Arabidopsis thaliana: one gene and its partners. The protein of the gene in region 4 interacts with the protein of the main gene of each other region in a pairwise test. Each region holds a gene or a part of one and is shown on either strand. Other genes may lie near its edges.

The links.
Region 1: the proteins of GRF6 (region 4) and GIF2 interact in binary tests that used the Arabidopsis thaliana proteins (3 or more experiments, as listed by UniProt).
Region 2: the proteins of GRF6 (region 4) and GIF3 interact in binary tests that used the Arabidopsis thaliana proteins (3 or more experiments, as listed by UniProt).
Region 3: the proteins of GRF6 (region 4) and AN3 interact in binary tests that used the Arabidopsis thaliana proteins (3 or more experiments, as listed by UniProt).

What each region holds. Positions count from the first base shown.
Region 1 is NC_003070.9:68,007-75,886, forward strand, and holds GIF2 (GRF1-interacting factor 2), read left to right. Parts: upstream 1-4,350; 5' UTR 4,351-4,576; coding exon 4,577-4,663; exon of another isoform or gene 4,664-4,908; coding exon 4,909-5,010; exon of another isoform or gene 5,011-5,080; coding exon 5,081-5,157; intron 5,158-5,280; coding exon 5,281-5,389; intron 5,390-5,481; coding exon 5,482-5,734; intron 5,735-5,815; coding exon 5,816-5,877; 3' UTR 5,878-6,090; downstream 6,091-7,880. Other genes in the region: AT1G01150 (Homeodomain-like protein with RING/FYVE/PHD-type zinc finger domain-containing protein), read right to left, coding at 2,109-2,279, 2,834-2,962, 3,035-3,715, 3,936-3,992; AT1G01170 (ozone-responsive stress-like protein (DUF1138)), read right to left, coding at 6,099-6,244, 6,332-6,437; AT1G01180 (S-adenosyl-L-methionine-dependent methyltransferases superfamily protein), read left to right, coding at 7,627-7,880. UniProt on the Arabidopsis thaliana protein: Transcription coactivator that plays a role in the regulation of cell expansion in leaf and cotyledons tissues.
Region 2 is NC_003075.7:353,876-361,932, forward strand, and holds GIF3 (GRF1-interacting factor 3), read left to right. Parts: upstream 1-3,469; 5' UTR 3,470-3,799; coding exon 3,800-3,883; intron 3,884-4,215; coding exon 4,216-4,292; intron 4,293-4,393; coding exon 4,394-4,502; intron 4,503-4,577; coding exon 4,578-4,851; coding exon of another isoform or gene 4,852-4,925; coding exon 4,926-5,053; 3' UTR 5,054-5,462; downstream 5,463-8,057. Other genes in the region: LIF2 (RNA-binding (RRM/RBD/RNP motifs) family protein), read left to right, coding at 1-42, 141-342, 481-662, 760-845, 943-1,090; AT4G00840 (DHHC-type zinc finger family protein), read right to left, coding at 1,608-1,724, 1,803-1,868, 1,956-2,041, 2,156-2,282, 2,390-2,481, 2,577-2,775, 3,042-3,230; ATOZI1 (monopolar spindle protein (DUF1138)), read right to left, coding at 5,673-5,818, 5,897-5,993. UniProt on the Arabidopsis thaliana protein: Transcription coactivator that plays a role in the regulation of cell expansion in leaf and cotyledons tissues.
Region 3 is NC_003076.8:10,644,472-10,653,157, reverse strand, and holds AN3 (SSXT family protein), read left to right. Parts: upstream 1-3,095; 5' UTR 3,096-3,537; coding exon 3,538-3,618; exon of another isoform or gene 3,619-3,770; intron 3,771-3,782; exon of another isoform or gene 3,783-4,616; coding exon 4,617-4,693; intron 4,694-4,772; coding exon 4,773-4,857; intron 4,858-4,937; coding exon 4,938-5,327; 3' UTR 5,328-5,691; downstream 5,692-8,686. UniProt on the Arabidopsis thaliana protein: Transcription coactivator that plays a role in the regulation of cell expansion in leaf and cotyledons tissues.
Region 4 is NC_003071.7:2,422,312-2,429,658, forward strand, and holds GRF6 (growth-regulating factor 6), read left to right. Parts: upstream 1-3,864; 5' UTR 3,865-3,911; coding exon 3,912-4,224; exon of another isoform or gene 4,225-4,317; coding exon 4,318-4,537; intron 4,538-4,625; coding exon 4,626-4,944; 3' UTR 4,945-5,012; downstream 5,013-7,347.

The DNA of each region.
Region 1 (7,880 bases), on a different chromosome or scaffold from region 4:
GTTATCATATTATTTGATATAGTTGTATTCTTTTCATGTAGAAATATTCTCTAAATATAACTTTTTTTTTTGTCTTTAGTTAGAAGTTGGAAACTACCTAAGAACAATAAATACATATATCAAATGTTGGTAGTTAAATGATGATTGTTATATCTTGGTCAAATTTTGTTTAAATCTATGATAATATTCGCATATACTTACTTTTGTTTAAATTTGATGTAGCTGTTTATTTTTGTTTGTAACGGTTCTAAATTTGATTATTTAAAGTATATGATAATAAATAAATAGATAATTGAAATAGTTGATCTTTCCATGTGACGATGTGAGTAAAGGGAACGGTATGAATATGAACCCCACATATCCTTCCTGATAAACTCAGAGATTTCACAGAATGTGATAATGTTTTTATTTTTCTTCTTTCCTTTATTTGTTTCTCTTATTTTCTTTCATATGATAATGCCAAAATACGCAGAAAAATTAAAAAAGTGTGGCAGACAGTGTGAGTTGATGATTTATTGCATGACTAGTAATAATGATACAATAATTTTTTAGATATGTTAGTATATTACGAACAAAAGAAAATGCAAATAATGCACAATGAACCACTCGTTCCAATAATTGAGTCCGGTACAAAAACATCACGTCACCATCATATGAAAGCAATTCATTTGGTTATCAATTTGAACTTCTTCATTCCACATTTTTTTTATTTTCCTGGTTATGAGTTGGAACTTATTGGATTATATGGATTAAAATTTAAAACCTATATAAACCAAACTATTATTTGGTTTGATTTTGTATTTACTTTCGGTTTAGCTTGGTTTGTAGATAGTTCGAGTAGACCGAACATCCGAGTCCTACATATATAAGAAAGATTGGCCCATTAACCAAATTTAGGCTTGATTGTGAATTAACATTAGGGCCCAACTAAAATACTTTTTTTTTTTTTTGCCATCCAATAACATTATTATCGCATATGTTCCGCATCATCGTTTACACAAATGATCAAATTGACCAAGTTAAGTTTCTTTTCTCTTTTTCTACATAATATTTGTTATTTAAAGCATTTGTATAAAATTATATACTGATAAGTGATGGTATATTCAATAATTTGTGTTTGTCTTTTTGTGATACAATTAATTATCCTTTATGGTTCCATTTTTTTTTCGTTGACAACGTTGAACAAAGATGGTCAAGGGGCCTAACTGTTTCTCACACAGTTTCCTTTCAGGGTTTAGTATTTGCCGTTTTAGTAACGAAGTTAGAGATTCATACGTATAATTATAAATAGTAGAGTCGGGTCAGATTGTGTTTCTTATCTAATTGTTATATATATAAAATTTGATAAAGCATATAATGTCTTGAAAGATTCAATCGTGAAATATGTGTACAAATATGTAAAATCTAGTTGCACCGCACGGCACCTTTTTTTCCTTCCTCTCCCACGTTTATTCTCGCCTCGTAACAGAAATTATAACTTGGAGTACTATTATAAAATACCTCAATAATTTTAGTTCTAAAAACATGTATATCTAAATCTAAACCATTGTGTATTTTGGAGTTGTAGGAGTTTTTTTTGTAGTAATTTAGTAATACATAACATAAAATGTGTCTTATGTTTAGATTTGCCTTTCATACATTGACCAACCTAAATCGGAGTCGGACCAGCTGGAAACTGGTCTAAATGTTTAATCGAGTTTTAGGTACCCTATCTAAAACCCAAACACAAACTCAGTTTTGCTCATAAATAATCTCTAAAAACCAAACACATTTCGTTAGAAAAACGACTAAAAACCGAGTTTAATTGAAATATACTTTCTAAACCGACCTACACGAACCGGAACCCGACTGCATATATACTTACTTACTCATACACTCTAACAATATAGAATCTATTATTGTCATCCATCTTTTCTTTCACTTCACCTAACTCCCAGTAAATTAATTAATAAAAAGGCGAATCATAACTTGTTTAGATCCTCTTGCAAATGAACCACGAAAGCAGCATGAACACGAATATGAAGAAGAGGACAAGGAAGGAGAAGAAGAGTACGTCGTCAATGGTGTTCTTGTATTCGATGATTGTGAATATATGTGGAGGATTGTTTCTAAGTTATTGGCTTTACAAATACCATCCCACAAATTCTAATCTTTGGATGGTTCCTGTTGGACTCATCTTCTTCATCACTCCTGCGTTTCTTTCCCTCTCCATTTTGATCTCCGATCTCTGCGACGACGATGATGATGTCAATCTCGACCTCAACCAAATCAAGATAATTCTATAAAAGTTTTGACTACTTCAAGTGTTGTCGTTTATTTGGTATTAATTATTATTAACCTCCGTACAAATGGAAGACTTGTGGTTTTATTGTTAAGTTTGTAGATTTTTTCACCTTTGTTTCCGAAACATTTGGTACTTGTGCGACAAGTTATCTCCCCATAGTCTTAAAAGATTAACCTATTTTTAAGTTCTTCAAAATTATATCCATAATTCCCATATGATTCTCTTTTTCTCAATCCTCTGTTTTGTTTAAAGAAGGGTACAAAACAAAAGACTAACAGAGTGGGACGGCTACTACAAAAGACACGTTATCTTCTCTTAATATCAACATAAGGGATACAAAGCGAACATCATCTATAAGGACTACTGTTACCAAAAGATCTACACGGAGGAATCCGAAACTGCGATTACAAGGAAGGACTAACATCAAAGTCGTCACACTACTATACTGCCAATTCAAAAGGTCACTAGGATTTGTCTTAATGTTTTTGATATCAAATGCGTCATTTAATACTTCTAAGGATTTTATGGTGAAAGGAATCACATACGCACCATATTTCTCCATTTGTCCTTAAGATCGGAGGAATTACGAGTTGTGTGGAATATACCTTTTCCCATCTCCAAAATCTTCTTCCAAGGCATGTTTTTGTTGATTGTATCAGAAAATTTCTCCACTCCCTCCTATCCAAAATAAACATATACTATAAGTTTAAGCTAAAAGTGTATTTCAAGAAAAAAGTGTGGTGGTTTTACCCTCAACATCTTCTCTTCGTTGACTGTCCATAGTACCCTTTTTGGCTGATCATTAACAACAGCATAAGCTTCTCCGCAAGATTTCTCCATATCAATGAATTGATCTGTTGACTCGTCTAACTGGGAATTTCGAGCCTTAAGGTGCTTGACCAGTTCTTGTAATTGATGAAGGTTCTCATGTAGTTGCATTGGTAGTGAATTATCAGAACCATTCTCTAGTTGACTGTTTTCTCTCGTCATGACTATATCTCCACTCCTCAGCTCACTACATCCATATTGAACAAGGGTCTTCGCAGCTGCAACACCCCTTGTTCTCAAAGCCGTGGATCTAGTAGCTTGCTCCTTAAACCAACAATAGGGACAGTAAAAGGTTGCAGGATCTTCACAATCAAGCTCAACACACTTCCTGTGAACAGCGAGAGGGCATTCATTCCCAGAACAAGGTACTACACCATCGTCTGCAATATCGCATACAATACATGCGTGTTCGTTCAACGGCTCAAAGCTTCTGAAAGTGTCACTTGTCCCAAGGTAGTGGCGCTTCTTAAGAGGCACATTATCATAAGTGAAAATGTTTGGAGCAGAGTTGACGTCCTCATCACCACCATCATCACACTGAACAATACAATGAGCAATGCGCTTTTCTCTCACAAAGCCAATTTCTTCAACAATTTCACCTATCTAAGATAGAGAAGAAGATAAATCCAAGTAAGAGTGTTTACACAAAATTGAACTAAATCGACCAATTTAAGGTTATCTAAGACCAATTAAGACATAATTTGTTCTAATTACACAGTAAAAAATATCAAATTGTTCTCTAACGTATCACAAGCGACATCCGAGTAAAGACTAAAATTCGAGAAAAAATAAATTAAAGGTTTCTTCTAAAAGGGGTGCTTACATAAGGACTCTTGAGGAGAGCGATATCATCTTCATCAAGCGGGAGATCACTCACCATTTTTTTTCAGATTCCGAGTGAAGATTTGAGAAATTCGAAGGGTTTACGTGAGATTTCTTAACGAATAAGAAAAAGAAGCTACTGTATGTTACCGTTTGGTCTCTCTGTAAGTGTGTCTGAGGTTTCGAAATTTCGAATTTAGGCGAAGAAGGAAGAAACTGACTCAATGTAGTACTTTGCAATGTAACTTTCTCGATGGTCCATGGGCCTTAGAACCGTCTTAGGCCCAAATATGTCCTTTTTTCCCATTGGCCCAAATATATCCAAAACTTTCTAATTTGGTTAGAGGTTGCTCGTTGCTGTATTAATTAATGTTTTATGTTTTCGTTTAGAGTTTTGTAAAGACAAATTAGAGAGAGAGAGAGAGAGACAGAGGCATTTTTGGTCATAAAATCCACACAGAGGTGGTTCGACATCCAGGTGAATCCAAGTAATAAATTGCAGGATTCTCTCTCTATAATATATATAGATATAGCTTGCAATCATTTCCTGCGTTTGGATCGGTCTGGGTTTTGTCGAGGGTTTTTTGGGGAAGACGAAATTAGGGTTTAGTTGGGGCAAAGTAAGTAGTAAAGAAGAAGAAGATGCAGCAGCAGCAGTCTCCGCAAATGTTTCCGATGGTTCCGTCGATTCCCCCTGCTAACAACATCACTACCGAACAGATCCAAAAGGTTCCTTCTTTCTCACCCTATATCTCTCCCTCTCTCTTAATTTGTTCAACACTACTTAGGAGGCTCTTAGAGCTTTTTTGTACTGACAAAATCATTGGCTTCTGAGTGCAAGTAATACTCTTTTGACTGTAATTGGTGGCAATTAGGGTTTTCATTTGAATCTTTCTCGTTAATTCCACAACACTTGAGAGTCTGTTGTTGGTGATGATGAGAAGAGACAGTTTCTAGGACTAGGAAATTAGTAGATGCTTGGTGGGTCAGGAAACTTTGAATCCGGTTTTCAAGAATGGACATTGAAGTTAGATGCTTGCTTGATGTTGTTGTTTTGTACTTTCTCTTGGCTTGATGTCTTCCATGGTAAGATGATAGGCTGCATCGTCATTTCCTTGTCATTCTCTTTCCTTTGCTTAAACGCAGTACCTTGATGAGAACAAGAAGCTGATTATGGCCATCATGGAAAACCAGAATCTCGGTAAACTTGCTGAGTGCGCCCAGTAAGTCTCACCTTTTCTATCCATCTTCTTATGTCTCTTAGATAGTAATGGAAGCTTAGAATTACTATTATTAATGGTGAGGTTTATATAGTTATTCTATCTTTTGCTCTGTTATATTTTCAGGTACCAAGCTCTTCTCCAGAAGAACTTGATGTATCTTGCTGCAATTGCTGATGCTCAACCCCCACCACCTACGCCAGGACCTTCACCATCTACAGCTGTCGCTGCCCAGGTTGTTTGTGATGATAAAACTCAATTGCGATCTATCACAGAAATTTAATGTTGTTTGGGGGTTTGCTTACTGTTGGGTATGATTTCTGTTAGATGGCAACACCGCATTCTGGGATGCAACCACCTAGCTACTTCATGCAACACCCACAAGCATCCCCTGCAGGGATTTTCGCTCCAAGGGGTCCTTTACAGTTTGGTAGCCCACTCCAGTTTCAGGATCCGCAACAGCAGCAGCAGATACATCAGCAAGCTATGCAAGGACACATGGGGATTAGACCAATGGGTATGACCAACAACGGGATGCAGCATGCGATGCAACAACCAGAAACCGGTCTTGGAGGAAACGGTAACTCTCTTTACATTATTAAGACAATACTCAATCTCATAAATTGTAACTTGTATCCATTACTTCTTTCTTTGCTAACAGTGGGGCTTAGAGGAGGAAAGCAAGATGGAGCAGATGGACAAGGAAAAGATGATGGCAAGTGAAAAGGATCCAAAGAAGCTTTGTTTTGTTGATATTTAGGACTTGTGAGTCTCGTAAGGGCTTTTTGCAATAGCTTGTTTGAGTTTTTTAACAGAAGATAGACTGTGGAGTAGTTCCGCAAACCGTGTTGTAATGTATTGTTATTTAGTACAAGCTCGGATTTAGAAAACATCGTCATCGTTCATCTTATTCTGAAAATCAAAGCATTGAACTTATTATTTTCTCATTCCGGACGAGTCTTGACGATGAAATTCTGACGGCTAATGGGATTCATAACAACGGGAGGACCAGCGGTTCTTGGCCATGCTTGGAATTTCTCATCCGTTGCTGCCCACCATTCTTTGTTAGAGACAGTTCCTGGAGTAGTCCCTGAAATTTTCACAAGAAGATAACCATTAAGATCGTCCCTAACTTGAAAACACACACAAAACTAGATAAATCTTGAGCAGAACTTGCCTCCAAAGATCTTATTATCAGAGATAACTTTGTCGAAGATGTATGAGATTCCGAAAGAACCGATGAGAGCACCGATTATGTACTTGGCTTTACCTCCTGATGCCATTTTCTTCTAAAGCTGAAAGTGAACCATTATTACAACTTAACACTCAACTCACAAGAGGAGAAGCAACAAAGCTTATGTAAGGATTTAGTATTAAGGCCAAAAAAACACAGATCAAATTCAATTATTGAAGCTTTACTTATCAAGTTATCATATAACCAATGAAGACGGTAATTCAAAAGAAAAATAAAAGGGTTTGTAGAATAATTGATACGTTTACCTTTGCCGATTCAGAGACAGTGAAGCTTAAACAGTGGACTCCAGTTCCAGAAGAATTCAACGGTGGAAGACGGTCGTCCAACTCTATCGTCTTATCTCTTTAAAAACTTTGGATAAATCTCTGTGAAATTACCAAAATGGGCATTGTTTTCTGAAACGTTAATTACTAGTTTTATTAAGAGACAAAACTACAATCATCACAAGGGAAGATATAATAGCAAATCTACTAGTTTGCTGAATTTCATCATACGTCTAGCTCGAGTAATTGTTATAACCAAAACCTGTAATATGCTAATTTGCTAGTTGATATGAATTTATTTATTTATCAGTAAGGAAAGGTCCAAGTGTCCAACATTGTTTTCGGCGTATGACACATACTCTATTATAAGATGATCTCGGCGAATGCCACATATATTAAACACTACACTTTAATTCTTGCAGAATTACGATTCAAAACTCTTTTTTTCTTTATTCTTTCGAATCAGTGCTGCATTTGACATGTTCAAAACATGATTCTACTTATTATTGACTATTGAGGTCGTGTCGTGTTATAACATATGATTTCGTTGGAAAACTGTAAATACACTAAAGATTAGAGATTCGTAGTTTCATTTATTAATAGGTCTAGGGGAGTTAAATAAGTTTTTGTTTTATATGGTTTTTCTAAACTCATAAAACCCGAAATACAGAATGAATTAAGTCAAGGATTAAAGCAAATGATTTTGATTGTAAATGACTACATCACATGTAGCTTTCTAGACACGTAAAGTCAAATAAATACAAATAAATTAGATCACGACGTGAGCAATTTCCTTATCCGACTGTATTTAAACGTCTCAACAAACTGACCCGCCAAAATAATCATAAATAAATTTCCATAATTCGAATTATATAAACTTAATAACAAAAACAATTATCCTTCCTTAATCCTATTTTGTTTTTACTTGATTCTTCATTCTCAGAAATCTTGACCATGAAGGAGGATCGTCGTCTTCCTCACAAACGCGACGCCTTCCAATTCTTGAAAACCAAGGCTGCGTACGTTATCGTCATAGTTCTAACCTACGCCTTTGGTTACTTCTCCGCCTACCACTATCATCAACCGCTGCAGCAGCAGCTGCCACCGTCTACGACAGCCGTGGAAACGACAAAACCTCAAGTTTGTTCAATCGACAACTTCCGAGTTACGACTCCATGCGGCAATCTTGTTCCGCCGGAATTGATTCG
Region 2 (8,057 bases), on a different chromosome or scaffold from region 4:
GACCCAAAAAGCTCTCCTGAGCATTCTGCTGCTGCTGCTCAGGTATTATTTAAATAGAGGGTTTAGTCAATCTGCACAAAAACCTCTCTCCTGGCAAAGTTGGCACTTTTTTGACAATCTCTTTTGCGTTATATACTCAGGTGAAAGCCCTTTATGTCAAGAATATTCCAGAGAATACCTCAACAGAGCAGCTAAAGGAACTCTTTCAGAGGCATGGAGAAGTGACCAAAATCGTTACACCTCCTGGAAAGGGTGGAAAACGTGATTTTGGGTTTGTCCACTATGCTGAAAGATCTAGTGCATTGAAGGCTGTCAAAGATACCGAGAGATATGAAGTCAATGGTAAGTTTTTTTAGTCATCTAGAAGACAGCTATTGAGTATTATGAACGTTATGCTATCAATTTGTCTCTAATGGCGTATGTTTTTTCGTCTCAAGAGATGTTATTGAGTAACACATTCCACAAACTTGCAAACTACAGGTCAACCACTAGAAGTTGTGCTTGCTAAACCCCAGGCTGAAAGGAAGCATGACCCTTCTTCTTATTCTTACGGGGCTGCACCTACTCCTGCCCCCTTTGTGCATCCCACGTTTGGTGGTTTTGCTGCGGCTCCTTACGGTGCTATGGGTGCCGGTTTGGGTATTGCCGGTAGTTTTAGTCAGGTATATATGTTTCTAAGAAAGAGCTGTTTGTCATCCTTGACTAGTCTTATCAGCCATTGTTTTGTGTAACGTTTGGTTTTAATTTTGCATTGAGCAGCCAATGATCTATGGTAGAGGAGCAATGCCAACAGGGATGCAAATGGTTCCAATGCTTCTTCCCGATGGCCGAGTTGGCTATGTTCTGTAAGTCGATGGTTCTTGTAAACAAATTTGTTGATCCTTCTCTATTGATTCATATTTACTTTCGCTTAATAAATAACCAATATGGATTGCTGTGCAGGCAACAGCCTGGTATGCCGATGGCAGCAGCACCACCACAACGACCAAGAAGAAATGACCGGAATAACGGCTCAAGCGGAGGGTCAGGCAGAGATAACAGTCATGAACATGATGGTAACCGAGGAGGCCGAAGGTACCGACCCTACTAGTAACCATAGAGAAAAATAAGCAAGTAGAAAAAGAAAAGGAGAAGTGTATTGGGATTTGTTTGTAGTTTGTTTTTGGAGAACTTTAAAAAGCTCTCTCTCATGTGTTATAAAATATGAAATCGAAACCTTATGGTTTCTGGTTTGATATGGAGACTGCTGGGGGGATAGGATTGAGTGATTCGATCTTTAAATTATGAGACTTTTTAGTTTTTTCTCTTCTGAATAATACTCTTATCAATTATCCATCAGATTTGGTGTTTTTGCTTTCCCTAGCCCTTGTGCAACGTTGTTTACTTATACAACAAGTTATCACTGGGTCTCATCACATAACATTACAGTCTGAAGATGTCAAACGAACTTAGACTTTCAACAAGAAGCAAAGAAATGAATCAAATCAATTACAATAATACAACAACAATTGGCAATGAGAATTCTTTTTGAGTAGAGAGTTATCTACATTGGAGTGCAGTTGAAGGCTGTTTCGAATATGATTGATTGATTTTGTTTCAACTTTCAATCAAGGGTCGATGTCAGAACAAGTTGGAAATTCAAGGCCTTCAAGGGAAGTTATGTTATCGATATCGTCTTTAGAGTACAATGGGAGGAGCCAAAACGCCTTCTTCTTCCCAAAAACCTTCACAAGATGAAAACAAAGAGTTATATATTTAATTAACTAACAATCCATGGAATGATGAAAACAATAAAATCTCACCTGCTCGAAGTTTTTCTTCTTTCCTAAGTCATATTTCCATCTGACTTCTCCATTTTTCTCATGAACCTAAAAAAATAAGACAATGATTCAGAGAAGAGACTCATATTTTCAAGACTTAGATTGTTTGTGAAAGCAAGAACATAAAAGATTTACCTCAACTGAAGTAGTGTTGGATGAGAGAAGAGAAATATGCATGACTACGAAACAAAGAAGGCTGAGAACGAACGCAAAGTTAAGAACTGCATCAAGGGGATAGAATCTGTAAGAAACATAAAGACGGAAAATGAGACCCAGAAAAAAGCTAAGCACTTTCTGGGAAAAGGAAAACGAGAAAAAGAACCGTTTATACTCACCGAATGCCAGAACGAGAGAGGCCAGTTTACCCGGAGAAGAAGAATGCTTTATAGCTTGGCTGAAGAATTCAATGAAACTAGGAAGCAAGACAATAACATCCAACATTGTCTCAAGAAAAGTATAGAACTACAAATTAAAAAAAGAGGGTGAAGAAATCAGCAAATCAAATAATCCCAATGCTCGCTTAAACCTTTTAAGAACCATAAGAGACTACAATGGAAATGAATATTTACCAGAAAGAGAAGGAAAAACTTGTAATTGCGTGCTCCAACACAGTTTACAATCCAAACACAATGATGATCCATCTTAAGAACACATCTTTGACCTACATAAGGAAACAAAGAACCGAATAAAGCTTTCTTTCTCTATCAGTAGAAACACAAGCAGAACATAGTATAAACAAATCAGATTTCGCCTTACACACAGAACAATGATGGCAACGAGGCGGCTTAACATTCCGGCATTTGGTACAGTAACCTAAAGAGCCAAAAGCTCCTTGATCTGTCGAAGTACCAGCCTCCAAACTGTCACCACCTCCCATTTCTCTTCTGAAATGCTCAGGAACAGAACCTGGGTCTGTAAAAACTGTTGTGAAGTAGCTCCACAACAGCATTATCAGCTGCAAAGAACCAAGCAAATCAGAAGTATAATTGTAAACCTAAACTCAGGGAGCCTAAACATTTACTAACAATCAATGGTCTAAACAATGATTATGTATCTACACTGCTTCATGCTTCATAACTACATTGCATTTCTCATTCTCTTGGCTACATAAGTTTCATGCCACATCCCTAAGTTTAAGGTTTAGGGGTTAAGTAGCAGAAAACCTAGACTTACAATTCCAGAAACAAAACCTAATCTGAAATTATGAGACTTGGAAATTACCAGGAAATGGAAAACAAAGATGATTAAGGCAGCGAGGGCGGATAAAGCTCCATGGTCTCCGCGGATCAAGATCGGCCACCATGTGCTAACTACGACGGCGTAGTAAGATACACCAACGACGGCGACGACAAGAAGGATCATGAAATAGCCGAGGACTTTCAGACCGGAGCAGAACCGGAAAAGGTTCATCTCCAGCCTGGTCAAAGGGAGAATCCGGACAATTCTTCGAGTCCGAGCCGGGAACAACCGCCGTAAAATATCCGGAGCCACGGTGAGGGATCGGAGTTTGCTTGGTTCGGAGGACAACGACGAATCGCCGTCGTGGAGCTGATATTGATACAGATTTAAAGTAACCTTCTTCTTGACACAGAAGCTTTCATAATTCTTTATAAGGCCCATTAACAGGCCCAATAAATAATAACAGCTACAAATGTTGTCTTTTTTTGGTTATCGTAGAGCTGACGAAAAATCAGACAAGGTGCCACGTGTACATTCGGTGGGGGAGACAAATTAATTGGTTGGGGGACTTTTTTGTCCTACGATTTCCCAGAAACCTCGTCGGCGAAATTCAAACAAATCAAAAGTCTTAAATTTAAGGATAATCCAAAATATTCGTTTGTTGAATATTTTTGCATCAGTTTGTTTTGCATTGGGCTCTTAAACCAATTCTATCACTCAGAATTATTGTTTTGTAATAATCGTGAGAAGAAACTTTAGGGTTTCACTGTTTCAGAGTTTTGATTGGTGAATTATAAAAGATGCAGCAATCTCCACAGATGATTCCGATGGTTCTTCCTTCATTTCCGCCCACCAATAATATCACCACCGAACAGATCCAAAAGGTTACTACTTTACTTTCTATATTTTTTGTCTTTCTGTTGTTTAGTCATAATGTCTGTTTATCGTAGCTTTGAAATTGGTTGTGTAATGATGTTTTTGAGTAGTTTAAACTGTTGTAATGAACTTTCCTTCTTGAGTATGATTTGTTTTAAAGTGTCATTGTTTTCCGCTTTAACTTTTTTTTGTTACTGGAATTGGATGTACAATCATGAGTTTGGAGTTTTTTTTTGAGTGAAAACAGAGTATTTGTATGCATATGAGATTTGAAAGCTTAAAATCAGATTGTGAAGATGACATGTTGACACAGTGAGTCACTTATTGCTGCTTCTTGCAGTATCTTGATGAGAACAAGAAGCTGATAATGGCGATCTTGGAAAATCAGAACCTCGGTAAACTTGCAGAATGTGCTCAGTAAGTGTGGGATTCTCGATACCAAGACCGAGCTATGTTAGCTTTACTGATGGTAAATAGAATATTAATAATAAAACATGGTTCTTGCTTGATTCTTTTAGGTATCAAGCTCTTCTCCAGAAGAATTTGATGTATCTCGCTGCAATTGCGGATGCTCAACCTCAGCCACCAGCAGCTACACTAACATCAGGAGCCATGACTCCCCAAGCAGTAAGTTTCTGTTTTGATCAGTTGAAAAACAAAACATTTTGGTTCTTATAGTTTGTGTGTGTTTGGTTTCTGTAGATGGCTCCTAATCCGTCATCAATGCAGCCACCACCAAGCTACTTCATGCAGCAACATCAAGCTGTGGGAATGGCTCAACAAATACCTCCTGGGATTTTCCCTCCTAGAGGTCCATTGCAATTTGGTAGCCCGCATCAGTTTCTGGATCCGCAGCAACAGTTACATCAACAAGCTATGCAAGGGCACATGGGGATTAGACCAATGGGTTTGAATAATAACAACGGACTGCAACATCAAATGCACCACCATGAAACTGCTCTTGCCGCAAACAATGGTAATATTTGGTTTTACAGCAGTTTGGAACTTATTATCACATTACTGATTTTCACCTTCTTTCTCTACCAAAAGCGGGTCCTAACGATGCTAGTGGAGGAGGTAAACCGGATGGGACCAATATGAGCCAGAGTGGAGCTGATGGGCAAGGTGGCTCAGCCGCTAGACATGGCGGTGGTGATGCAAAAACTGAAGGAAAATGAAATAGAGGAAGAATAAGTGATGCTTCTTGTTGATATCAATTAGGTTCTACCTTTCATTTTTACTTTCTTCACGATGATATAAAAAAAAGGTTTTGTCATTTTATGAGTTAGTCTCTGTTAAAAGGGTTCTGAGACAGTTGAGTTTCAGTTCCTAGATGGATGTGGAATGGTTCACATTCACATGTACAATGTTAAATGTTGTTGTATGGTATTAGTGTCACCGGTTCAATTTGGTGTATGAACCGGGTTTAGAATCACGTTTACCTGATAGTTTGCCTCCAGGTTTGTGTGATAATTAATTCCAAGGCTTGAGATGAAAAGTAACAGTTTTAAAAATGTTTACAGAATCAGCGATAACAAAATTCCAAACCAAACAAACCAATAATGTCTTAGAAGTTTTTCTTTTTGGCTCGATTTCATTTATCGTCAAAATCAACAAACCTTACAAAAGTTATGCATCGGGGAAAAGCTTGATCCGAATAATGTGTTACGCATCAACACAAATTATTACTATAACCAGCTAGAGCAATCAGCCGATCCTCAAATCAAACACAAAAGAGCAGATATTCGAAAATGAATCCATAACGAATGAGAACGATGCACGAGAAGGCATCAAAAGTTATTCAGGACGTGACTTGACGATGAAATTCTGGCGACTGATAGGGTTCATGACGACGGGAGGACCAGCAACTCTTGGCCATGCTTGTAATCTCTCTTCAGTCGCAGCACCCCATTCCTTGTTAGTAATAGTTCCTGGTGTAGTACCTGAGAGTTCAAAACAAACCAAACCAAATTTAGCTTTCTGGATACATCATAAGTAGCTTTATAAGGTTTAAAACTTGCCTCCAAAAAGCTTATCATCAGAAATAACTTTGTCACACACGTAAGCTACTACCGCAGATCCCGCAAGGGCACCGATAATGTATGTAGCTCTCGACATCCTTAACCTGAAGTACATAGATATATCAAACATAATCAAGCCACACAAAAGGAGAAAACGAACTTATATCAGATTATAGCTATAGTGTATAGTGGGATTGAAATGAAGTTTCAAGGCATATTCAACCCTAATCAAGCCAATACAATCACATAAAACCATTAGATAATTAAGCTGCTGAATCAAACAATTCAATTCAATTATAGAAGACACAAATCAATAAAAGCATCTGAATGGTGAATTTTTTCACACAATCGATAAAAAAACCGATCTAAGAAACTCACTGCTACCAACAAATCTCGTTTTATTCTTCCTAATCGCGCTAAATAACATATCATCTGCTAGTTTCGAGTTTTGTTTCAGATAACGATTCATAGATCTCGTGAGGACCCAAAAATCGAAACAAAAGGTGAATAAACTACACAGACGACTAACAACAACAACAAATTTATCAAATAGATCTGATAGAATCGGTATTTCACAAAACAAGCATCGATTCGAGAAGAGTGATTTACCTGAATCGATTTCACAGACACGGAGAGGCGCAGGAAATTTTCGAGAAGAATCTCGTTGGTAGATTTTTAGGGAGGAATAGAAGAAATAGCGATTTACGTTTCTCGTCAAACTTGAAATGACCCAAAAGGGGTTTCCGATTGTGGTGTACAAATATTGGGCCATTATGGGCCCATTTCGTTTATGAGATTTTACTCCTAATTGGGCCACACTTGACTATTGGCCCATCTTAATACAAATCATTTCTTTGGGTTAATGAAGATAAAACTTTTTATGAGATTTTATACCAGATTGGGCCATACATGACTATTGGCCAAGCTAAAACAAATCATTTCTTTTGGGGTTAATGAAGATAAATCTTTTTAAACGGATTAAATTTTCTTAAAACAAAGCTTAGAATATATACAGTCAAAAATCTATAAATTAATATTCAATAAATTAATATCTCATTAAATTAATAATTTTCTTCCGTTCTCAAATTGATATTTTAGCCCAAATATTGTCTCTATAAATTAATAAACATGATAATTTATAGAGGTTTTACTGATTAAATTACAATTGCTATTTCAATTTGTAAAAATATTAAGAGTTCCTTTTGAATGACTTTGCTCAAAACGAGGTTTTAGAAAGTGCTAAAGCCTAAAGCTTCAAATGCACATAACACCAATATTTATTCTGCACGCATAAGATTTCTAAAATGATTTCAGTTGTTTTTCTTATTGCGTTTTAAAAACTTACAGTCTATTTATAAAGTGAAACATCTATAAAGAAGAAGAAGACAAACACGTATTTATTGTTAATATTTTTTTTTGTTGTTGAGTACCATATTAACCTAGAAGTTGGAACCGGGCATAATTTTTGCATGTGGCCATTTTTCATGTGATTTACCTATCAGTAAATTTTTGCATAACCGTTACATCGTTGCAGCAGGATTGAAGAAGGGATCATGTGAAAGATAACTGTTTCTGACTTTCTGTCAAAGAAACTTAATCTTAAGGTCGAAACTATATTGTATCATAGGTTATGTATACATAGACACATGATAGTTTGTTGCATAACATATTTTAATTTCTTTTAGAAAAACATAAAACCATGATCATCAAATAAAACAAAACATTTTTGTCTCATTAAGTAAATGCAAAATTGTTTAGTTCTGTTTTATATGTGAATGTTAGATACAGAATGATTACTTTTTCAAGCACAAAAACATTTTTTGCAATTAGTAATTAGCAAACAAAATAAGAAAGATACAATTCAATTGCATTATTGTACCCTTTTCTTCTCTTTGCATTATTGTACCACTTTTTTTTCTCAACATTATTGTACCCTTTATTTTTCTGTGCATTGTACTAATATTTTTTCCCCAAATTAACCAATCAGTGTCTTAATATAACAGTACGTCCAAGAATAATTAATATAAAGCATTGGTAGTTCATTACGTAATTGACTTGATTTGTTAGCAAGCTATCACTGAAGAGTGGTCCTAAATATTATAGGACAAGCGTGTGTGTGTCTATAATTCCTCCGTCTTCTCTATGGTTTTCAAACTAATAT
Region 3 (8,686 bases), on a different chromosome or scaffold from region 4:
TGCACCTGAAACGAAATGACATTTTCGGTACCTAAAACAGGCACCCTAAGCTTCAAAAGCTTTTTGGGTATCCAAAAATGAGAAGAACAGTTGCAGGACTACACCAAATAGTCATTAGTCACAAAGTTTGTTAACTGAAATAATATTTTCTTTTATATGTTATAGTTAAAAATTTCATTACACTGTTGGTAGGTGGAATACCAAAAAAGAAAATAATAATATTTTGAGATAACAGTATTCAATATAGAGCATGTTTGCATATATTTCTTGTCAGACGTAGAATCTAACATTTGGTAAAGAGACTGCATCTACATACTAAAATACATTTAGATATATGAAAAGAGAGAGGAAAAATAGGTGGATTATTCTTGTTTTTTTTATATTAGAAACTGAAACCCAATAGCAATGTCACTTGCCATTAAGCATTTCACATTAGTTATATAAACCGACAATTAACAAAACTTGCCAAATTTTAGGCAAGAAAAGACATAAAATATACGTGGACATCACATGTTTGACACATCGGAGTTTTGTTGTTATGGTCGTTTCGTTTGCATGTAAAATGTGTCTTTCTCATTTAATTTTCGTGCTCTGCTCACTTTAAACTATAAGTCTATAATATAATGATTCTGTTTACTTTATTCTACTTTATATAGCAGAAGAAAATCTATTTTGGTCAAGTAAAATGTATACGATACAACACATTTTTGGTATAACCACGTTAATTATTTCCAACTATGTATTTTTTTCCTCGCGAGTAAAGTGAAAAAAGAAATCAGTTTCAGTTTTCTTTTTTTTTGTTTCTTACACTTTTTCTGAAAACAAAATACAAAACAAATCAGTATTATTAAAAGATAGCATAGGATGAAAAAGAAATTAAGCGCGTGGGGGTAATTAGAATCTCAATGTGATGTCATAACTGACAAGAAGTATTATTTGGACAGAAGCGGTCTTTAAAAGATCGACGCACATATTCTTGTTCAACGTGATTCCACTTTATACGTATAACATTTCATTTATTGTTACTAAGAAATTTTAGTACGTAATTTCATGTATCCCAGAACCACAAAATATCTCAGCTCAAAAACTGCAAGTTTCATTATTTATAAGTTCTCCAATATCTTGGTGAATATTCATATTAATCGGTCAAAGATAGTACAATAATAAGTTACAAGTTGCTGCAACACTTTTCTCTATGTAAGAGGATTCAACATCAACCTCACATTAACTATAAAATTTATGGCTGTTATATAGAAAATAAGGTAGTATAAAATTAATGTCGTAAAAATTTAATATTTCTTTTAGGTATTAACCAAAATGAATTGATCATTTGTAAGCGTTTCAGAATCCTACCTTTAACTTCATAATCTCAATTTACAGTATGCAAACAACTATATTGGTCTGATAAAAAAGAAGAAATGGTATTTTTAGTTTTGTTCCTAGTGTTTTTGGTTTGCTTTTAGATGGCATAGAAACACTATTGGTTTGGTTATTGTCTATAAGACATAATTAATCGGGAAAAGAAAACAATTCATTTATCCTTACAGATTACTTTAATGTTCATACATAATACTATAGTTAAACAAACAAACATTAAAAGTTGAGCCTCCGTGGTTCATATATGCAGAAGGAATATCTCGGATCCATTTTTGGTACCAACGAATAAAGTGTTAATTAATATTTAACCACATCTACAAGAGGGTTTAACGTGGAATTAAGTATAACCACGCAAAGATAATATAGCTGTTGAATCTTTTTCTTTTTAAATTACCGACCATCGAAACGTACTTCAAGAATTCGAACAAAAAGTTAATGAGACTTATCAAATAACTCCAAACTAATTATTATTATTTTCTTTACAAAAGCATTTCAAAAACTTTAGAGACCCTTTGGTTGAGAATCATCAATATTAAACATTCAAACCAAGTTAGGGCAGTGTTTTGATGGTCGATAACTCGTCTTATTGGTCGAGACAAGTGATCGAGTTAGTATTAACATATGTAAAAAAAAAGAAACATGTATTGATCATTGTTGAGGATAAATTTCATCTATTAAGATATCAGTCAATTATAATGTGTTACGTGATTCGATAAAAAAAAAAGACCAAAAAAAAAAAGAAGATAACTATTGGTAAGCGTAAGAAATGTGTTTACATTTTGGCATTTTGCCAAAACACATAAAGATGGTTAGTGATGAGACGAGACGAGTCATGCGCTACTTTTAAAACAAAATGAAAAACATCATTAAGCTAACAAACCAAACACACTTGTTTTGATAACATGTTCTAGGGAACTAGTTATGCCAAATCTAATCCGCATAAGAAGACTAAGTCACAACATAATTCAGTAATTTGGTTGAGATTAAATCCTATAAATATGATTTTAAGGTATAAGAGAGAAGAGACTCTTTTGATCAACACAATCAAACATCTACAAAGAAAATTATCTCACATAGCTACTTCTTAATCTAATTTTTTCATTAATCCATTTTATTTTAAATGTGAAGAATCGCATCTAGATGTGACCTCTCATGATAAAAAATTAAACCATTGTAAAAAAAATGTTGTGTAAAACTAAATATAATAAATTATTAAAAAAATACAAATTCAATCCACTAGGTTAAAAACTCCTATGTAGAACATTTTTTTATATTAAAATGTAAATACATGAATCTTATTTTTCGAAAAACTAAAGACATCTTTTTTTTATATATTAATTACCAAAACAAAATAAGACGACAAAAATATTCTTTGATATAGTAAAAGAAAACTAGAAAACTAGAAAACAATAAATTACCAAAACAATCTAGAAAACAATAAATCCTACTTTGCATTACTTTATTATAAAATCCCGAAATGAATCTATAAATGTAGAAAATATTATACAAAAGTTGTAAGAGATTTTAATATACATAATTACATATATATACAAGTAAATACACCGTATATACATACGAAGGAGTAAACAGTATTATTTGGTATATAGTTACGTCTCTATATACGAAGGGTTCAAACTTCAAAGTAATAATTTAATCAACAATGTGTACATATTGATAAGTAGTAGTATATATGTAAAGGTCTCACGTCTCTATAATAAAGTATGACTCGTCACGTGACCTCCTCTTCTTCGCAGAGACAGAGATAGGATGAGACAGAAAGAAACCAACAAAACCAAACCCCAAAACCCAAGAAAAAGAGAAAAACACTCTCTTCTCTTCTCTCTCTCTCTTTCTATTTAAGAGACTTCACTGTCTCTCTCAGTCTTTTAACGCAAAACAACTTTTGTGGAGGAGAGAAAGCGAGATAACACACACACAGAGATACACATCTTCAATAGTTAAGAGTTTTCTATATACAGAAGCATAGAGGAAAGAGAGAGAGACAGATACAAAAGTTAATATCTCTCTCTCTCACTTGGTGAGACTTCTCTTTTTCCTCTGGGTTTTGTGGTGGGGGTTGTCTCTATAAAAACTTATATATATAAAATATATAAATAAATAAGAAGGAATTATCAGGTTTTATATAAAATAGCAAAAGAAATGCAACAGCACCTGATGCAGATGCAGCCCATGATGGCTGGTTACTACCCCAGCAATGTTACCTCTGATCATATCCAACAGGTTCTCTTCTCCTTCTCCTCCTTCTCCTTCTTCTTCTATTATATTATCTCTTTCTTTTTTCTTTATTATATGTTTCTTTGAATTCATAAAGGAAAGTGAAGAAATCTCTCTTGCAAGTACCTTATAACTTTTTCTTTATATTATATAAAAAAGTATGTGAAACCCTTTTCTTCTGTTCTCATAACATAGATGATTTTTTTTCATTGGTTCTTTTTTGTTTGGTAAAAGAGTTCTTGTTATTCTTGTTTCCATGTCTTTTTTTTTCATAGAGAAATTAGTTTTAATACATGTGTGTTTATGTTTGATAAATTTGGTTGGTAGAGATGCTTTGGTCACTAAGATGATTCTTTCAACTTTTTTTCTTTTCCTTATAGATTTGGTGTATTATCAGTTAACTTTGATGCTAATTAAATGTCTAAAACCAGACAAAGTTAAGAAAGATTCTTTCTTTCAATGAAAATGAATGTTTAGGGTCCAGTTGTGTTTTGAGTTCTTGAAACATGTAATGAAAAATAACGTGTTCAAAACAGACAAATCTTGGGAACTGAAGATTTGTTTCACATATCTCGTTTTTTCTTCTTGTCTTGGTTTTCGGGTTCTGGAAGTTTCATTGATGGCAAAAACCACAAAGCCATTTATGTGAATATTGTGGGTGGTCCTGTTTAGATTTGTTATCATTATAAGTAGATCTATGTGTATTTTCCAGTCCAAGTGTTTCTTTTATTGCTTACATGACCAGATATACTTTGTGGTCCGAAACAACATCTGGTCCTTATCTCAGTTTTTTTTTTGTGTGGTCCTCAAAATCTTTTCGAAGAAAATCTTTCGTTACACTTTTGTGATATTTCAACATTATTGTCTTTTGAGATAAGTCGGAATTTAAGTTACTGGGGTCTCCTTTTGAGATTTTCTATGTCTTTATTACAACAAAAACAAAATAGTATGCAAATTTTTTGTTTGTAGCATTAGTAATGATTAATGAAAATGTTTGATTGTAGTACTTGGACGAAAACAAATCGTTGATTCTGAAGATTGTTGAGTCTCAAAACTCTGGAAAGCTTAGCGAATGCGCCGAGTAAGAGACAACATATCTCCTTTATGATTTCACTTGTGTTCTGTTGAGTAACAAGAAATGATGATTAAAATGGTTATAGGAATCAAGCAAGGCTTCAACGCAACCTAATGTACCTAGCTGCAATAGCAGATTCTCAGCCTCAGCCACCAAGTGTGCATAGCCAGGTGATTGTTTATACAGTGAAGTATTCCAAATTTTGTTGTATGATCAATTGAGAAAGTGATTTGTTTTGTTTGGTTATTAGTATGGATCTGCTGGTGGTGGGATGATTCAGGGAGAAGGAGGGTCACACTATTTGCAGCAGCAACAAGCGACTCAACAGCAACAGATGACTCAGCAGTCTCTAATGGCGGCTCGATCTTCAATGTTGTATGCTCAGCAACAGCAGCAGCAGCAGCCTTACGCGACGCTTCAGCATCAGCAATTGCACCATAGCCAGCTTGGAATGAGCTCGAGCAGCGGAGGAGGAGGAAGCAGTGGTCTCCATATCCTTCAGGGAGAGGCTGGTGGGTTTCATGATTTTGGCCGTGGGAAGCCGGAAATGGGAAGTGGTGGTGGCGGTGAAGGCAGAGGAGGAAGTTCAGGGGATGGTGGAGAAACCCTTTACTTGAAATCATCAGATGATGGGAATTGAAAGAGTGTGGCACAAGGAATCTTAATGATGAAGCAGCAGCAGCAGCAGAAGAAGTAGTAGTAATAATAGGAGTCTTGAAGTTAGTGTGTTTTGGTTTTAGTTGCTTGTTGAAGAAGCAAAGAACTCTTTATTTACTTCTTTTTAGTTTTGTTATTCTCTCTATGTTTGTTCCCTAAAACAGTGAACCTCTTTCGTGGTAGTGTACCATGTAAATCTGCTGGCTCCAAGTTGTGTCGTAATCTTAATATGTTATTTCTCTGAGTTAGACTCTTTTGCTTTAACCAGGACTGAAGTTTTGTAGATCATTGATGTTACCTATTTGGATTCTAAATCGTTATGTAGGCTATATTATTGTTTTTTTTTTCTGGCTGTTATACATAATTTTATTTTATAGTTGATAAAGTCCAACCGGTTCAGTCCAAGACTCATATGACCAGCCTTAGTGGTCCTCGCAAGGTCCCATACTGCTGAAGACCGGACCATAGCCACCCGAAGCTGCACTCAAACCAAAGACCATATTCGGGTCCATTTAAGATAAAGTCTCGTGAAGAAAAGAGGGTTTCAAAAATGTGTCTTTTGGTCCCTTTGCTTCGTCCTAGATTCTTCAAGTAGTATTGAGTGTGGATTTCCCTTAGTTGAGAGTTCCATCGACGATTGTTTTTCTAGTGTCTGGATTCCCCTAGGAGGCCAAGCCCAGCCCCTGCTTTTTACAACTCAATCACAAGCCAAGAGAAGTCTTCAGTTATTCTATTACTTCCTTCCCTTTGGCAAAACTATAAGCCTTGAAACAATATGTCACAAACACTAGTTAAATGTTTAGACCGCACCACCATAGGCCCCAAGTATGTATTTGACATGTTGGCTTCATGCCTGCTCTACTAGACTTCATTTTTGTCTAACTGGTAGTGCGCTATTTCGAAAACTAGATAGATTTGTCATATCTTCTTCTCATGACCAACACATTATTCTTCTTCTTTTGTTCACATTGACATGGTATTATAAAGGGTAATTTGCGGACCACACCCTTTGACCATGTTTTATTTTCAGAGATTGACAAAGTGAAAAGTGGTTTTCACGTTTTGTCTTTTCAGCTGAAATTTGACCCTTTTGCCCTTGCTGCTAGAGCTAAGAAACTGTTGAATGTACAGTTTAGTTAGTCAGGTTTAGTTAGGTACACTGTTCCGGTTTAGTTGAAGATATTTTTGTTTCACGTTGAGGAGTGCAGCTGTACAATTAGAAGGGAGGTTTTTTTTATTAAAAACGAAGTGACATAAACATTTAATGGCCCAAAAAGTTTAGACGTGACTGTTGTTATAATTAATGCAAAATCATTATTACATGTTATAATATTATAAAATTATTGATAATAATTGTTGAGTTAAAAATGAACCCAGGAAAAAACATTAATTGCGAACGTACATTGATGCTCAAGAAGTGTTTATCTTGTTTATTTACGAAGTTTGGAGCCAAGATAATCATTATCGTGTAAGTAATGAAGTTTTAAAGAATTTTTTTGTTATAACACACTATGATCTTCATTGTGTTCGAAATCAACTTTGTTTTTTATAGAAAAACCCAGAAATTTTTTATTTCCAATTTTGTTGGTTGAAAATGCTAAATGTGTAAATATTTATGTTTATAAGTGTGTATATCGAAATTCTATTTGTTTTTGTAGATATAATCATGTTTTTAGTTGCATTTAATGGGTTTCTCTTGATTTTATGATGCAGTTGGGTAATGGATATTCCCGTATTTACTATGGTCGGTGAGTGGAGATGCAAAGAAGAAGAATGGAAATTTAAACCAAAGGAAGACATGTTTGGTCGCTGTGTGCGTATTAAGGAAAACATTACATACACGGAATTTGTACGTACACTAAGCGAGGCTTTCAGTTTTAAGTCCACAGAGATCAATCCCATAATTAGTTACTAGATGTCGGGAGAGATGTTAGTCATGATAGATACTCAACGCCCTCTTGTCTTCATTGATAGTCAAGTGGGATTGGATACGTTCTTTTTGATTCGTGGTCGGTATCCTTCTCTCAACTTGTTTGTCTCTTTCATTACAACCGTCAAGACACTCGGGAATAATGTCTCTAGGACTCATGGTGACGATGCTGAAAGTGACCGTGTGTGTGATAGTGCTTCAAATGTTAATGAAAATAATGAGGCCATAGATGAGGAAGACGACGTTGAAGACGATAAAACAGATGAGGATGAAGAGGAGGGGGACAATGAAGACGGTGATGGGTATGATGATTATCAGGGTAACGATGGATCTATGGGGGGGGGGGGGAAGTACCCTCGATCCTACTATTGATGGTAGTTAAAGTAGTGGCGAAAATTATGATTACAACAAGTGGAACGATGTAGTTGTAGAAGAATATGGAATAGGGAATGTTGAGGAGAACGTCATTCTCACACAATTGACTGTTCAACATCCATGGAAATTCAGTCGTCTATTGGCAGAATGTACGTACACAAGTCAGCGTGTACCTGACGGAGATAATATTTCTCACTCGGGTGACCGTACACCAGCTGTAACTCCAAGAAGTATGTGTCAACATGGTTTGTACCAATGTACATATACTATAGATTGGGAAGTGTTTTTAACAACAGAAAAGTCATACAACAAACAATGTCTTATCTCACAATCAAACAATTTTTTTGCTACAAGCAACCTAGGTCATGTCCTACAAGATTGGAGATGGTATGCGTTGATGATACTTGTCCATGACATTTGACTGCTCAAGTCGTCAAGAATTCAGAATGTTTCAAAATTACATCCTATGAACGTCTTAGAATATATTTCAGCCACTGCCAATATTGGTTTAATATTGTATCAATAAATATTTCTTAATAATTTAATTCACAAACAAAGATATATGTATATTATTACACATGTACATACATTAATTTACCAACAAAAATGTACGTACATTATTACACATATACGTACATAACTTTTCAATATGAGGAACAAACATTACTTCACCATCTATTTTTAATTAATTATTATGTATGTATGGAGATTATTGAGATATAAGAATACGTAATAAAATAGCTTGAGTTATTAGAAATCGTACCATATACGTTTCAATAAATAATTTCGTGTACGTACACTGTAAATTGAATATACGTACACAGAAGAAATTCGATGGAGGATATAATTGTAATTTTCCAGTCATCTTCAACCTGTGTATCCTTTTCTGCAAACCTAATTTTGCGGCCGTCTTTAGCAGTTTTCTCAAAATCTCATTTTTCTTACGTTTTGGTTACTATTTATAAATAAATCTTGTAAACTTAGAGTATCTTTAGTTTGAATCTATGAGTTTTTTTTTGCATTTTGTTCATCTCGAA
Region 4 (7,347 bases):
TGAGTTGACGTGAAATCGAGTGGAGATGTGGGAAGTTATTTAAAGAAGCCATCATCACCACGATTTTTGAGATTGTAGAGATCTCTTCCCCGCGCCTGATCTGAGCCGTTAGATGCGGTGCGCTGAAGAGACGCGTCATCTCGACCGTCCACGTCACCCGCGATTTACCTCGCGTATCTACTCGATATCTTTCGGTTTAAGAATCTAAGATTATACCGTTTTCATTGAGTTTATCCTCAGAACCGATTGATCTTATCGTATCTACTACCTTATCTACAATATTTTCGCAATCTTACTTGGCTTAGGTGTCCGTTCATCGAGTTCGCCTACTTACTCAATGGGCTGGATGGCAAATGTTGGAGCTGGATTTCTCTCCAGGAATCCACCTGCAAAAATAGCATGCCAGCCCACTAAGCCCACCAAGTAGAGGACCTGCGCAGCTCTGGAGCCCATGAACAGATTAGGTATTTGGGCCTGATAAGCCTAGTTACCTGATGAAGGGAGATAAGCGAATAACAACCTAGGAACTGACCAGGAGATATTCGCGGAGCGGACCTGATATCTCGGAACTAACCTGCCGAATATCCAGGAGAATATCCCCGCGGATCTCGGATGGAGCTACCCACGTGCGTAGATCTATGTAAGGAAGCAAGGACGACTTGGAAGACATATACATTCAGCTTAACACTTACACTTATACTTTACACTTGTAATCTCATTCTACATTGTAAAAGCTCTACTATCATCAATACAAAAGTTTATTCGTTTTCAGCAATATAAATTTCAAAGTTCTTGTGAAGATCTAGCCCTCCTTTCTCATAAATCTATTTACAAATCTCTAGTATGGATTTCAGAACCCACAAAGGTCAATCTCAAAATATTGGTCTTTATATGTCTTTACCATTCGTGATGATATTTGGCAAGATTTAGCTATGGATTTTGTGTTGGGATTGCCACGTACACAACGGGGTGTGGATTCTGTGTTTGTCGTAGTTGATAGATTTTCCAAGATGACACATTTCATTGCATGCAAGAAGACCGCTGATGCATCCAACATAGCCAAACTATTTTTCAAGGAGGTAGTGCGCCTTCACGGGGTTCCTAAGTCAATCACTTCGGATAGGGATACAAAGTTTCTAAGTCATTTCTGGTCTACTCTGTGGAGGATGTTTGGAACAGCTCTTAATCGAAGTTCTACACCTCATACGCAAATCGACGGGCAAACCGAAGTAACTAATAGAACCTTGGGAAATATGGTTCGAAGTATATGCGGGGATAATCCAAAGCAATGGGATTTAGCTTTGCCTCAAATAGAATTTGCTTACAACAGTGTTGTACATGTGGTTGATTTGGTTAAGTTACCAAAGGCTCTTGGGTAAGTGCATCAGCTGAAACTATGGCTGAAGAGATTTTAGTTGTTAAGGAAGTTGTCAAAGCTAAGTTAGAGGCTACCGGGAAAAAGAACAAAGTCGCTGCTGATAAACGTCGGAGATTCAAAGTTTTCAAAGAAGGTGATGATGTGATGGTGCTCCTTCGTAAAGGGAGATTTGCAGTTGGAACGTACAACAAGGTAAAGCCTCGCAAGTATGGCCCGTTTAAGGTGTTGCGGAAGATCAATGATAATGCTTATGTTGTGGCTCTCCCGAAATCAATGAACATTTCCAATACCTTCAACGTAGCTGACATTCATGAGTATCATGCAGACGGGGTCCTTTATCCAGAAGAGAACTTGAGGACAAGTTCTTCAGAGGTGGAGGAGACTGATGTAGGAGAGATTTAGCAGTTTTACATTTCTTTTCATATTTCCTTATTTCAAGTTTTCTATTTTGCTTAGAGTTTTCTATTTTATGATTTGGTTTCTTCTCTATATATAGAAAGACCCTAAGTTTTTTGCTCGACACGTTTTATCATTTTAATTAATAAAAGCAGAGAGTTTTTCTCTAATCTGGTGGATTTCCAAAGTTTCAACCTTTCAAATTCGACGCTTGCGAACTTGATTCATGTTTAGGCATAGTGATTGCTATTCCTAGAGGTTCCGACTCCGTAAGTATTTTAATTCTATATAAATAAATGAAGAAAAAAGTAATCATAATTACCCAAATAAAACAGTTTGTTTATATTCCTTTTTAAAATTTTAAGTAACATCGTTAATGTGCTTAGTGTTCTTTATGTTTTGCTTCCCGTCAATATTAAATAATCTTTACATGGAAATTAATCGGTCTCATATATAAAAGAGAAATTGAAGACGATTAAGATGCTATTAACTTTATTTATGAGTATGTATTATGTGAAACACCTTTTATTTATAACTTCAACATAATCGTTTCTAATCTTTCAAAAAAAACTGCCTAAATATTTTTAAATCGTTACGTCTCAAATATAGTCTTTTTAAATATAGTTAATTTATCAACCTTATATATTTTTGGATAAAAAACATGATTTATATGATCAATTTAGATGTATTTTTAGTATTAGAGGTTTTCCTAAGAAAATAAATCATGTTTTTATGAAGTGTAAGTTTCTGAGGTTTTTTCACAAACCCCCACCATCTGTTAATGCATTGGGTCTAACTTCATTTGATGACCGACTTCAAATGAATTATTTACATAGGCATGAACAAAATTTTAAATTTTGATAATTAAAATAATCTTTAACAAAGAAAAAAGATAATTAAAATAATCACAGTTTTTTTTCTTTTGAGAAATATAAAATAATTTAGAAAAATTCAAAAGAAAACAAAAATAAAAGAGGGAGAAAGAGATGTGGCATGAGTGATGGGTGTGTATGGGAGTGAGTGAGAGCTGTGAAAGGGAAGAGTCGCAGAGAGTGCAGAAGTTTTCAGAGTTTGCAGACTCACTCATTATTTTCCCTCTCTCTCTCTCAAACTTTTTTACTTCTATTCTCATAAATATTTTTTATTCAAAACAATTTATTATTCATGCATAGTGTTTTTAACACAAGTGGACCGTGTACACTTAATTTTATAAATGTCGAATGTGTTGGAGCTACGAGTACTACGAGTCGTCTATCTAACCAAAGATGTCACATTACACGATACGGTTTATTTGATTGAAGAACAAAAATAATGATTTGGTATAATTCAAAATTTATAAACTCATTACAATTGGACTTCTTTCATTTTATTTTCTAATACTATAATGAATGATTAAGAGAATGTTCTTTGTGGTTAGCTAAACCTTTATAACGATCTTTGTAATAGTTGCAATATGCTTACATGTTTCTTTTTTTATAGTTAAAACATTAAGAAGAATAGAAGAGGGACATAAATCCTCTCACTTGGCTATTTACTTACTATATTTAGGATCGAATATAAATGCTAAAAACATCTTAAATATTGTAGGGTTAAATTCAAGCTTCTTTCACAAATAAGTATTTTTTTTTTCTTATTTTTTCTTTCTCACATATACTAAAGTTTGAGATATAAGTTATATGACTCAAAAGATATCATAACAACCCAACATTAGAGCTGAAATTTTTAATGTCTTATTATTTTGTACACAACTTTACCTCTTAAGTTTCATGACTTGTTAGATTTTTTTTTTGTCAACCAAAAATAATTAGAACTTAATAGAGTCAATCCCGAAGGATATTGTTTACGTATACGTATGTAACTTGGTAGATTCTCTTTTCGGTTACCAAATTTTCTCGTTTTTCTAAACGCAAACAAAAGTTACAAACTCCTGAATATAATACGTAAATAAATTAAACATAAGTTATCTATGCCCCTTGTCACAAAATTTAGCTTTTAAGAAGGAAAAGAAAAACCTGAAATGGTGCTTAAGATAAAACCAAAACTAAAGCTGAAAAGAAAATTTTAAGAAATAAGAAAAAGGAATAATAAACAAGAAGAGGACATGAAGCACAGAGATTCTGCAGACTGCAGGTGACCAATGGACACTTTATCAATAAAAACATACCTACTACTCTCTTACACTTTCAATTTTCCAATACAAATCCCAATCTTTAATCTCTCTTTCTTCTTCATCTCTCTTTCTCTTTCTCTCTTCATGGCTACAAGGATTCCATTCACAGAATCACAATGGGAAGAACTTGAAAACCAAGCTCTTGTGTTCAAGTACTTAGCTGCAAATATGCCTGTTCCACCTCATCTTCTCTTCCTCATCAAAAGACCCTTTCTCTTCTCTTCTTCTTCTTCTTCATCTTCTTCTTCAAGCTTCTTCTCTCCCACTCTTTCTCCACACTGTAAGCACACTTTATCTTCTTTGCTTTGTGCTCTATGATGGTTATCCTTAGGGTTTGGTGATAATGTAAACGAATTTGACTCTTTTTTTTCAGTTGGGTGGAATGTGTATGAGATGGGAATGGGAAGAAAGATAGATGCAGAGCCAGGAAGATGTAGAAGAACTGATGGCAAGAAATGGAGATGCTCTAAAGAAGCTTACCCTGACTCTAAGTACTGTGAGAGACATATGCATAGAGGCAAGAACCGTTCTTCCTCAAGAAAGCCTCCTCCTACTCAATTCACTCCAAATCTCTTTCTCGACTCTTCTTCCAGGTTTCAAACACACCTTCCTCCTCTGTTTTACTCTAATGACAACACAATGATTGACTATTTTTTATCTTCAAAACATGTTTGAAAGTAGAAGAAGAAGAAGTGGATACATGGATGATTTCTTCTCCATAGAACCTTCCGGGTCAATCAAAAGCTGCTCTGGCTCAGCAATGGAAGATAATGATGATGGCTCATGTAGAGGCATCAACAACGAGGAGAAGCAGCCGGATCGACATTGCTTCATCCTTGGTACTGACTTGAGGACACGTGAGAGGCCATTGATGTTAGAGGAGAAGCTGAAACAAAGAGATCATGATAATGAAGAAGAGCAAGGAAGCAAGAGGTTTTATAGGTTTCTTGATGAATGGCCTTCTTCTAAATCTTCTGTTTCTACTTCACTCTTCATTTGATCATCTTTTGTTCTTATAACCTTGTATTTCTTGTTAAGATGGTAATGCAAATTCTCTCTTTTTTTGTCTAATTTAATTAGGAGTTTCTTTTTGTGATCCATGCATTATATTAGCATAAAAGATTTAACTTGTGTAAAGTAGTTATATTAGTTTGGTTTCAATGTTTAAATTGTTTCTGCTCATCTCTTGTCAATATTAGTGATAGTACGATGTCACTAAGTCATTGATTAGCAACAAATTTATCAATTCATGTTTCTGTAATTAATTATTTCTGATTCTTTTTGTCAGAAACTTGTTCATTAAACTATTTACTGTGGATAGTAAATAGTTTTTTTTTATAATTAAAACAGTAAATAATTTTTCTTAAAGGTTATGTTATAGAAAAAAATGATGAAGAAAATAAGAAAAGAGTAAAAAAAAGACAGGTTTTGCAATTGAGTTGAGTTGAGTTCTGCTCCCTGACTGAGTTTGGTCAGGTCTGAAAAAGCCACACACCCAATCAAAAGCTTTCTGCTCTGACTCAGTGAGAGAGAAAGACGACTTCTCTTATTCTCATCAAACTGAATTATTATTTCTTCACTCACACACATGAGTACATGACATAAAGCAAATTATACTTGTGTGTGCGTGTAATTTTGTTGCTTATAAACTATAATTGCAGTCAATATGTTCTGAAAAGTTGAAAGAGATCCTACAGAGAGAGAGAGAGAGAGAGAGAGCAACATGAAACCTAAAAACCCAAAAGAAAAATTAAAGTAAAAGGGAACAGAAGAAACTGCAGAAACAGTACCAAATCCTTCAAGACCACACACACACACACCCACGTTTCTGACTCTTCCACTTCCTTCTGACAACACTCTTCTGTATTTTTTATTTCTTTATTTATTTTTAGTTTACTATTTTGCTTTCATTAACCATTGACTACGTATCAAGTTGTTTCAACCGGTGTTTTTACGGCCGACTCGTACCGTCCAGTTAGACGGTTAATCCGCGATCTAGACACTTTTCTGTTTAAATTTAGTGCTAATATCCGACAATTTCAAACTCGAAAATACTCGCCTTAACCTGTGACTCTGTCAACCGGTTGAACCGGCCGAGTGTAAGTTTTAAAAACATTATTTGAGTTTGGAATTAAATATAGCATTTTAGACTATTTGAGTTTGAAAAAAAAATGTTTGAGTTTGAAAAAAAATATTTGAGCTTTATTCAATTATTTTTGGAATTTATTTTCACTTTTTTATCTCATTTGATATTTTAGATTTTGGTGAAGACTTCATAATTCTGCTTTAAGAAAATCAATGAATTGGTGAGAAAGACAACCGAGATTAGTTGTTTGAATTCGAGATATATGTTTTATTAGTTTATTTTCGTCATTGATGATCTCCTAATATATTTGTTACGGGTTTAGACTGCTAGTTGGATTGAAAAATTTAGTCACTTTCTATTATTGTTTGATTTCATATTTTGTTAAACATGATATGATTATTTTTGTTTTATATTTATGAAAATTAAGTAATTTCTATTGACATTAAGTATATTAAGTAAATTTTAATCAATTGACCCGTAGTCCAACCCGGTTGACCCCATGACCTGGTGATCCAGAAGGTAATCCGATTTACTGTCCGGGTCGGGTTTAAAAACATTGAAAAAGAAAAAAGCTTTTCTATTAGTAACAATAGCAAATAAAAACAAGGCTCAATCCAAATAACCCAAAATACAAACTGATCATCCTTGGCCTGTGAATGTAAATTGTCTTCACACTCTGACTACTAGAGAAATTGAATCAATGAAATCTTTGTCACTAAAGTTACAAACACACAAGAGATATCTGTTGTTATGTATGAAATATCTCTCAATTGGCCTCTTCCTCTTCCTCTTCTTCCTCCATGTTAGGATCACCAGCTTCCCCATTGCTCTCTTCTTTTTCTTTCTGGGGGCTTGAATTTGGATGACTCTCCTCCATTAATTCACCTTCTTCGTCTGATGACGATAACGCCCTTCTTCGCCTTACACCCGAAGTAGGTACCTGTACTCACCAAAACAGACTTAGTGTGACATTGTGTTTTGCATTTGTGTAGTTCCATGAATTGGATTGAAGTTTATGTATTACCTCATCATCATCAACATCAGGATCTTCGAGCCCAGCAGCAGCGAGAAGATCATGAGCATCATCATCCACAGGTTCCTCAGCTTCTTGAGTAGTCATCTCATCTTCCCTGTTATAATTAGTGTTGGCGTCTTCATCTTCCACTTCATTATGATCATCCATAGTGGCAGCTTCTTCTTCATCGTCCTCGTAGTGTCGAGCCCTTGAGCTTTTGTCCTTCTTTCTTCTCTTTCCACCCTTCTTTCTTCTCCGCTCACTGGGCTTACTTTCCCCATCATCATCTTCCACTCTATCCT